Drosophila melanogaster: one gene and its partner. The protein of the gene in region 1 interacts with the protein of each later gene in a biochemical or structural test. Each region holds a gene or a part of one and is shown in the gene's direction. Other genes may lie near its edges. The genes, in order: nudE and sw.

What was found.
Region 2: the proteins of nudE (region 1) and sw form a complex in vitro, tested with the Drosophila melanogaster proteins (one study listed by BioGRID).

What each region holds. Positions count from the first base shown.
Region 1 is NT_037436.4:9,897,449-9,902,693, forward strand, and holds nudE (nudE), read left to right. Parts: upstream 1-1,792; 5' UTR 1,793-1,907; exon of another isoform or gene 1,908-1,939; intron 1,940-2,277; 5' UTR 2,278-2,556; coding exon 2,557-2,636; intron 2,637-2,704; coding exon 2,705-2,858; intron 2,859-2,974; coding exon 2,975-3,248; intron 3,249-3,312; coding exon 3,313-3,570; coding exon of another isoform or gene 3,571-3,656; exon of another isoform or gene 3,657-3,749; intron 3,750-3,894; coding exon 3,895-3,986; intron 3,987-4,112; coding exon 4,113-4,388; 3' UTR 4,389-4,464; downstream 4,465-5,245. Other genes in the region: CG6707 (uncharacterized protein), read right to left, coding at 481-607; CG46387 (uncharacterized protein), read left to right, coding at 1,283-1,720. UniProt on the Drosophila melanogaster protein: Chaperone protein with functions in nuclear localization. Required for centrosome duplication and formation and function of the mitotic spindle.
Region 2 is NC_004354.4:20,232,938-20,237,835, reverse strand, and holds the start of sw (short wing), read left to right. Parts: upstream 1-1,637; 5' UTR 1,638-1,753; intron 1,754-1,885; exon of another isoform or gene 1,886-2,032; intron 2,033-2,089; 5' UTR 2,090-2,172; coding exon 2,173-2,327; intron 2,328-2,401; coding exon 2,402-2,548; intron 2,549-2,933; coding exon 2,934-3,061; intron 3,062-3,445; coding exon 3,446-3,508; intron 3,509-4,392; coding exon 4,393-4,413; intron 4,414-4,898. UniProt on the Drosophila melanogaster protein: Acts as one of several non-catalytic accessory components of the cytoplasmic dynein 1 complex that are thought to be involved in linking dynein to cargos and to adapter proteins that regulate dynein function.

The sequences.
Region 1 (5,245 bases):
TTTTGCCGATACCGGCGTCGAGTAACTAACTACAATCGATCTTTACATTTTTGGCAGCTCTTCACAATTTCGTGATAAAATTACATTTTTTTTATGGTGTACGTGGCCCATTTGATATTTAGGCCAATAAGAAAATTTTATATTAGGTTGTAAATTTTTGGTAATACCAATAATACTGGGCCCTATTAAAAAATAAAAAAATGGCAGATAATTTAAAATGGCATTTGGGCACCACATATCCTATCAGTTTTTCTTTCTGTGCAGTCCCATTGCTCTCCCCCCGCACCAAACCACACGCATTTATGACTCAGTTGGGTGAAGTGTGAAAATGCCAAATGAGACGGCGAGCAGACAACTCGGAATCACGGCGTTGGATCCGGATAAGTGGAGCGCCCGCACACTTGTTGGGCTTCCAATGGGTTGCCCGCCCGGCTGATTGGATGCGGGTTGAATGCCCGGCTTTACAGTAACGATACGCACCGTCCTCGTTTGTGGCCACCGATGAGTTGCTGCCGGGATTATCGGCACCCTCGTCCACGGCGTCCACGGAATTGTAGCCATTGCCGTCGTCCTTGTTGATCAGGCTTTGTCGCTCTGGATCCGCCATTGTGGACTATCTTCCGATAAATGGATATTTATATGTGTGGACTATAATCTCTATATGCTGGAGCAATTCCCGTTAGGCTGCACTTCCAGTTGCCTTTGTTTTGTTGTTGCTGTTGCTGCGGGGGCTGCTGCAACGCGTTGATTTCAACTGGAAAATGAGTGGGAAATCCAATAGTTTAGTTGCTGTGCCACATAATTTCGGACGCAACGAGCTCTTTGTTCACGATTGCCGCAGTAGTTTGGTTTTTTTTTTCTTCGTTCGTCGCGGTTTTCACTCGCGTTGATTGAAACACATCCTCCCTTTTTTCACTTTTCGGCATGCGCCGCAATTAATCAATTCGATGATGCTGCATGTGCAACGCCCACGCGAGCTCGATTGTCGCACTCACACAGTTGACATTTGGTTATAATACTGGCAATTGCGTTAATTGTTTAACAATTGCTGGCCATAATTGTGCTATATTTTACCTTATTTTTGTTGAAAATGCACTGCAGTCGCTGCGATCTGGCCACACTCTGGCTAGCTATCTGGCAACGATGTCCCGTTTGAGATTTTTCAGTTGCGGCCCTGCCAGGGAGTTGCCACATCGTTGTACTTGGTAAAGAACCAGAAACAGATCAGCGAAAAATTGTTCATTTTTGGAACCAAAACAATCCAGCGCGGCTTAAAACAAATATGTCTAAAATCACGAAAAACTCCAATAAAATTGACAATAAGGATTCTGTAAGCGGGGAAGGCTCAAATAGTGGGGACGATAACACGTCCACAAGTTCAAGTGACTTTGAAACAAGCAGAAAACACAAACTACGCCGCAAATCCTGTCGAAATGTATCATATCATTATCATGCGCTGCCCATGCGCGTAGTTGGCGAAAATGTTGCAGCACTGCCACAAACTCCCAGCTCCACTCGTGATTTAACACTAAGCTCAGCTCAAATAATTGAAGATAGTTCCGACTCTGAGTTTCATATTTCGGACGATACCAGCAACGATGCGCCGGCCAACAAATCGATAACGTTCACAGCACGTCCATTAGAGAAATATGATTTGGAATATATAAGAAAACTACGTAAACGCAAAAAAAAGCCGAGTAAAACTTTATATGTTGATTAAATTTCAAATAACAACTGTTGACCAGGGCTGGAAACGGCAAATGCCCATCTATTGGCCAACACTGGCAACCCAAGCCAGGGTTGGCTTGTGCGTTTTTGGAGTAGTGGTAAATTTTTACGAGCATAACTATTTACACTGATTTTATGTAAATAAAACAAACAAAACGTAGCAAAATTAAGTGCAAAGTGTAAGTAGTAAATGTGGACAGTCGTGCTGTATAAAATTCTAGGTATAAACACTGGAATTCTACGAAAAAATCACCGATGATTTCATTTCCATGCAGTGCGTTGTTGTATGGGAAACTTCGTCGTAGCTATTTGTTGTTGTTGTTGTTGCTGCTGCTCATCACCATCATCCTCGTTGTTTTCGTTGTTGTTGCCGCAGCAGCTGCGTCACAAAAATGAGTTTTGTTTAATTTGATTTTATTTACATTTGATATGGACAAAACCGACTGCCCTTTTAGGGCATCGAACAAGAACAACAGCAACAGTAACTACAAAATTCAGGGCAAACACCTGTTCCTAATTGATTTTTCACTTTTCTTCGCCGACTTCTAGTCTATTCACCACCCCCAACACACAAAACAAAAAAAAAGTAAAACTACGACTTGAACAACAACTGTGTTTTGGCATTTTAATCACAGCAATTAAAAACAAAGCAGCCAAAAAACACGAATAAATAACCCAAACAGTAATAGACCAACCGTAGTACATAGCATTGTTCAGAAATTAAAAGTTAAATCAATTCGAACGAACGAAATTACAAACCCATTTTGACCGCCGATTAGTACACAAAAACCAGAAAAAGGAGTTAGCAGCTAAGGAAAATTTGCAGAAATGGAGTCGCCCCCGATGTTCAATAGTGTGGAAGATGAGTGCAGATATTGGAAGGAACGATCTAAGCAGTACCACAAAGAGTAAGTGCCCATCCCTATTACAGTCTCCGAAATCAGCCATATAGCCTAGTTTTACTTTTAATTTTCAGGTGGACAGACGTGAAACAGGAGTACGACGAGTTTGTGGAGCAGTCCCGCGAAATGGAAATAGAAATGGACGCCACTCTGGACCAGAAGCAGAGTATAATCAAAGATCTCACAGCCAAACTCACAATGTTTGAGCGGGAAAACGAGTCTCTCAAGGTAGCTATAAGCTAAGCCCGATTTACACAAACTGAGCTTAATTCTTAGACTCAGTTTGCGTATATGTGGCTTTGAGCTCCCGACAAGATTAGTCTTTACAACTATTTCATTCTCAGCTCAAGTTGGAATCGCATGGCATCGATATGTCAAACATGGAGAAACAGCTGGAAACGGTGAAGAAGGATCGCGACACCATGAAGGTGTACCTGCGGCAGCTGGAGCAGAAAAACGACGATTTGGAACGTGCCCATCGCATACTTAACGAAAGCATAGAGAATTTCGAGAAGATGCTGGATCAGGCCTACGAGAAGAACGCCCTTCTGGAGCTGGAAGTGGATGAAAAGGGATTGCTGCAGGAAAAACTACAGCGATTAATGGATGAGACGAGAGGTGGATGCATCTATACCAGATGTCCAGCACAGACTTTAAAACTAATTCATCAAATCTATTGCAGATCTCAAACAAGAGCTGAACGTCAAGTCACGCTTTACCCCAGTGGTCAATGGAACGAGCGTTCCCACGGCAAACGACACAAATACGGTCAACAGCTCGATGAACTCGTCCGCCTCGCTGCCAAATGGTATTGTTGCCAATGGCGAATTGGTAAAACACGACAATGCTGTCGCCACAAGAGCCACCAGCGTCAGCGTCAACGCCCTCAATGGCAGTTTAGTTAATAGAAACGAATATAACCAGCAGCATTCGCTTAAGAGTAAGATACTAAGTTCCCTAAAGAAAACCAGACGCGCGCTAAAACTGTCCAAGACGAATCGCCAAACGTTCAAGCCATGCATTTAGTATTGTTTTTCCATTTGTTTCTTTTTTACTTGTTAACCAAAAAATGTAGCCCGCTTAAGTTCCTCATAATTTGTAATTGTATTGTAAATTATTAAAATTAAGAGCCCAAATGTGACGAAAGAGTTTGCAACATTTCTTGTAGGCGATTTTTGTACGATTTGTGTTTGCGTCTGTAGCTAGTAGTTGACCTAACTAACCTCTCGACTAACATGCTGTGTACGTGTGCTTCCTCTTGCAGATCCCGAGAATCAAATCAATGGCAATTCCATGAACCCCAGCTCCCGCACAACGGCGCTCAACATTGTGGCCGACATGTTAAGAAAACTAAACGTAAGTCCCTCCGCAAACTATAAGTCCAGCATGCCATCCTACCTCATCCATTGTTTCGTATGTACATATGATCCTTGAACCCTTCACTCCCACCATCGGCTTATGTGTTTTTCCCTATGTTTTTAGTGGGACAAGGCACTGCTATGTCCCGAGTGCGAAAAGTTTCGCTGCATGTGTGAGCGCCCGGCAAGTGTGCAGCCGCCGCCGCCGCCATCGGCCAGCGAGGCAAGTCTTTTTCGCCGCGCCTTTGGCGGCAGCAGCAGCTCAGTGGCCACCAGTAGCGCCCAGTCCACGCCCACCAGCGATTGCAGCTCCGCCGGAAGCCTCAGTGCGGGCTCAAACATTTTTAGGCGCTTCGCCGAGCGCATGCGAAACTCGCCGGACGCCAGCCTGCCGCTCTGACAATGCGCTCGGAACTTTAAGGCTAATTTTAGTTGCCCTCCGCTTGCATTTATTAATTGCATTGGTTAATAAATACAAAATTTATTTGTACCTTATTTTATGTTCTTTGTTTTTGTTCGTTATGATTTATTCAGTTTCGAAAGCGCATAATAACTTGGCTTGCTGACTAAACTCTGCACTGGGCAAACCGTTGCGAAATGAAATTTTCATTAATTTATTTATTATATGATGTGCCCAAATCCTTCTATAGTTAATTTTTCATATAGTTCACTGACTGTTGCTTAATCCGCTCTCGTTTTGTGTTTTTTTTTTAGGCGATGGAGACGAAACTGAAGACGTACCGCGAGAATGGTCAGCCAATGCCGCAGCGACACCGCTCCTCCCAGCAATCCACACATCCGGCGCTGGCCGGACTGCCTTGCTTCTCGCTGGATGCCGAGTAGTGTGGATTCTGCAGTTCAGCGTGATCCACAAACCCCAAATCCGAAACCCAATCACCTAGGGCGGGATACTGTTCAGTTGGCTTTACGTTTACGTTACGTTACTTTAATGTTACTGTTCGCATTAATTAAGTTTCTGCTGCCTCTTTATTTATTTGAACTAAAATGACTTTGTATAAACCACTTGCGATATTATGAATTACACAACAGTTGATGTTGTTGTTTCGAGCCCAACATATATAACATGCCTTAGTACGAATTAAGTGTATACCTAAGCTATAAGTACCCACTCGGTTCACTTTTGACTTGAATTGTTAACTCGAACGCAATTGTTTTGGCATACAATGTGTTTAGCGACTAAGTTCAAAGTTGATCAACCAGCAAAACAAGCGAAGAAGCTCTGTCCAAGTATTATAC
Region 2 (4,898 bases), on another chromosome or scaffold:
CGACTTCGGTGCGACAGGTTTGGCCTGGCAATTAGCGCGGGGAAAAAGCGAAGATATTAAGTATCCGCTCATCGGTTTGCCAACTCCCGCCCATGTGCAAGATTTGTCGGCCTGGAGCAAAAAGTTGAGCAGTCGAAGATTTGGCAATTCAAGGTTTTTACTGCAGCATGGGGGATCATCGGAGCGATTCCAGTTCGAGTCCGGTTTATCAATGCGGTTACGAAACGAGCAACTCGGACTACAGTTTTTGGGTCGTCGAATGCTGGCATTTAAATTCAGATGTGCAGATGTGCAGATGCGCCAAATCGAATCGAAATAAAATCCCCAAAAGTTTCATGGGCGCTTTAACCCCATGAAAACCTCTTCCTTGGCACTTTGGATACGGTATCTTTCAGATACTTTCAGATACTTTCGGATACATTCAGATACGACCGAAGGCACGTACTACTGTTGGATTCGCTTTGCGCCCCGCGTTGCAGCAACATCTGGCATTGGTGGCACAAATTATGGCATACATTGTGGAAAGACACATCGCCTAAGTGCGCTTTCTATTTCCACGGCGGGTTCTGGTGATTTCACTGGCCCAAAGACGCGCATTGAATGTAATTGGCACTTTGGAGGGGCAATTAAAACACGACATATCTACATACATATGTACATACGTATGTATGTACATACTTTCAGAACCCTGAACGTATTTTGTAAGCTCAGTAGTTTTGAGTCACTATGGGAATTTCAGCGGTATTGGTAATTTTTTACAAGAATAGTCTTGCTTACCTTTCTTAATTAATTAATTTTTACATTTTGTAGTACTTCACACTCAGCATTTTAATCAAACAAATGCACAGGTTGTGGGCATTAATTTTAGCTGAATTTTAGACCTAAAAGGATTATTTAATTTTGTATGCATATGGGACATCAGTGTATTATCATTAAGGTACTGTGTATCAATTCGAATTTACCTACAGATACCTCTCTTGAATCTATAAATTAAAAGTTACGCTTCAGAAAGCAACACTGATATTTCATAGTGCATGTGTGTGAGTGTGCAAAACTTTTTTATGATAACTGTAAGCCACCTATAACATAACAATTTTAAAATGCGGCATATCTCTGTATTAACATACTTTTTACCTATTATTAATTATGGTAATATAATTATATATTAATCTAATATATTTATAATTAATATTAATAATTAATAATTAATAATTAATAATATATAATATAATATATATATATATATATATATATATATATTCAGTTTGAAGCTCTATTTAAGCATGATTTGTAGATTTCTTCCATAAATAAATATAAATATTAATAAATATAAAGTGTGTTGCAGTGTATGTGAAATGTAACTGTAACTAACAGCGTTCTGCTAAACGCAGTAGTGCTGCCAGATCGCTGCGCTAGTGCATGGAAAGACTGGAACTATCGCTGTCACGACAGCTGTTCACAGCTATCGCCGTACAGTAGTAAAATCTTATTCTTGTGTTTAAACTTGTGTTAATTAAGAATTCGGAATCCCGCTAAGAATCCTAGTCTTCCACACCCTTTGGGCATCTATGTAAACCAGCCGCGCCCATTATCTCCTTCGTGTGCCAATAACTGTGCGAAGTAACTGGCCGTGGGCGATGTTCCATCTCTAGTTAGTCAAAACATTAAAAGTCAGTCGCATTTTTACATTGTTGAAAAATGATGATTTAAGTACTTAAAAAGCAGCCGAACAACGAGTAAAGACAGTCAAGAGGTGGGTTTTTGTGCATTTCATGGAAAAATCACAAGAGCAGTGAGAGAAGGAAGTTGAAAAACGCAGCCAGGGCGAAAAGACGTCACAGTCCAATCGCTGGATTATTGATTTTTTTTTTTTGGCCGAGCAAAGGAAAGTAAAGTGACGGCCACTCACTGGGTTACCGGGAAATGTGCTCCACTTGGCGATAGGAGAACATATGAGTTGGCTGCGCCACGCCAAGCGAGCGGTGGAGAACCACACAGCGCACCCACTTTCTTTGCTTCTGGCCAGCAGTTGGTGACATCATCAAAGCTACCAATATTGGCGACCATTAATCATGCATCCCCCTTGCAGAGAACTTGGCCCGCCAGAGATCTAGAGTCCCGTACCGAACGCCCACTCGAACAGCAAATCGCAGCAGCTAATCGCCCCGAGAAATGGATCGCAAGGCTGAGCTGGAACGCAAGAAGGCCAAGTTGGCCGCCCTGCGCGAGGAGAAGGATCGCCGGCGTCGCGAGAAGGAGATCAAGGACATGGAGGAGGCGGCCGGTCGCATTGGCGGCGGAGCAGGCATCGACAAGGATCAGCGCAAGTGGGTTTGCCATAAGCTTCTCCTCAGAGCTGACTCAGCACCGCCATCATCCAACTTTCGTTCGCCTCTTTCAGGGATCTCGACGAAATGCTGTCATCGCTGGGCGTGGCCCCCGTCTCCGAGGTCCTTTCCTCACTCTCCTCCGTCAACTCGATGACTTCGGACAACTCGAACACACAGACCCCCGACGCCAGCCTCCAAGCCACTGTCAATGGCCAGAGGTAAGCCAGTTCATAGCAAAAGCTTTGTGAGTAGAATTACCATCTTAAGCAGAAGTTCGCAGGGCATATTAGACATATTCAGGTCATATAGGTATAGACATTTGATTCCCTAAGTTTTTTTTGCTAAACAACTGTAGAGACAGATTCCCCATCTACAAGCTTAACATAAAAAAATATCAGTAGTCAAAATTGGAATCCTGGTTAGAGAGCGTGGCAATTTTTACAATTCAATTTTAGCATTAGCCGTTTTAAAAATTAGTATTACACAGATTAGACAATGGGCTTAGTACTGATTAAGTTTTAACGATCAATGTATTGTACTATTGCTATTGCCATTTAACCGATTCCTAACTAATACCAATTTCTTATGTGCACCCCCCACCAGCGGCGGAAAGAAACAGCCCCTCAACCTAAGCGTCTACAATGTGCAGGCTACGAACATTCCACCAAAAGAGACACTGGTCTACACAAAGCAGACCCAGACGACCAGTACCGGAGGCGGAAACGGCGATGGTGCGTATTGCCCCCGGGGCGGGGATCTGGTTGGGCTCTACCGTAACCACTATCCATAGTTTGACTCCATCTCTCGCTACTGTTACCGTTCTTATTCTTGGTCTCGTTGTTAAATGTGTTTGGCTTCCCTGCTGTTTCCCAGACTCCGTCACCGTCCGCCGGAGGAGCAGTGTATCTATCTGTCCCTCTCACTCTCTCTGTCCATGTCTGTGCTCCAAACTCTCCCTTTCTGTCTGGTGCTAGCTTACACCGCTGCATGCTGACCCTGTTTCCGCGCTTTGTTCCCCATCAAGTGCCCCCAACTCCCGTCCCTCCCAGCAGAGAAAAAAAACAAAGATGCAAACAGAAACCATAATCCATAGTGAAATAAAATAACAAATACAGTTCTTTCTTGCCACTCCTCGCCTCTGTCAGGATATATGGAGGACTGGTGGCGTCCACGTAAAGGTACTAATCTTAATTTTAAGCAAACTCCACACCTAATCACACATCAGCACACGAAAGTTATTGTGACAAAACGAAGCGGCATACACATGTGAATACACGAAGAGCTCCATGTGAAGCGCCCACACGACTTAGTCTAAATTTGCTGTAAGGCTCTGCAGGCAGAAGGATGTCAGCATCGTACATGCGTAGACAATTCGGTGGACTATCTACTTAACTGCTTGAATTTAGACAGCTTCCTTTTGCTTTGCCTCGGCCCAATTTGGTTGCAATGCCCAAGAAACGTAGTTTCTGGTCGATTGATCATCTTATGACAGATTTCTCTTGATTTGGTCAATCCGCATTATTGGTTTTTGGTTCCTTCAGTGCTCTCAATTTAGCCCATCTATCCCAGCAATTGTTTTTGTTAGTTTATTTTATAAATGTTCGAAACTGGAAAAGCTCAGACACGATTTCAAAAACCATTCGTCACTATTTTGTATACTATGCAATATTCAGCACACTATCTGAACACTTCAATCCGAACTTTTAAAAATATAGGTTGTAAATGGTACTGCAACGCAATGTGTCATGTTTATCCCCTCTTTAAACACGCCTTTTTATAATTATTACTTTAATTTTTGTCGCGTTTTTGTAAAGGTTATTGGTAGCACTAAGCATTACACCAATTGGCCTTGTTTCGCTTCATTAACGCCGCAGTCTCGACTCATTTCCGCATGGCCACCGCTGTCCAGCATCAATCTTTCCATCCACATCCATCCATGTCCACATCCGAACCCATAGATCATTAGAGTGTAAACCGTTCGAGCGCATTTAATAATTTGTCTATTTACTTTCTCTTTCTTCCCTCTTAACTGTTTTTGGCACGCACGAAAAAAAAACTGCAGCTCATGCTACGGATTATTATGGTGAGTAGTCCTCGTTGTATGCGTAATTCCGTACTTAGAACTTTTCAGCCTCCGTAGCGGTCTGTGTGCCACTCGTAAGAAGCGTATCTATACCCGTAGTCCTATATATTACCATTACCTTGAAACCTCTCTATGCTGAACTTCTCTATATACTCACATTATGTATTTGTGTAGTTTGCTCAATATCTATCCACAACACGATCTATGCTCCTTAGAGTTTTTCTGACTTGCTTAGTGTACGCTTGATATGGTAATCCTATCCTAGAATATATATATGCCCTATGTCCTAGCTTCTCGTAGTTGCTTCTTCGATCTTTGTTTCCGATTTGGTCCTTTGATTTGCATCCCAATTGGGACTATATACATATATTTATTACATTTTATATGATTTATATGACATTTGTTTCAATTAGCTCGATAACTACCTGAAAAAAGATTCGTATCAGTTCGTATCAGATCTTAGAGACCTTGTGTGAAAATCGTTC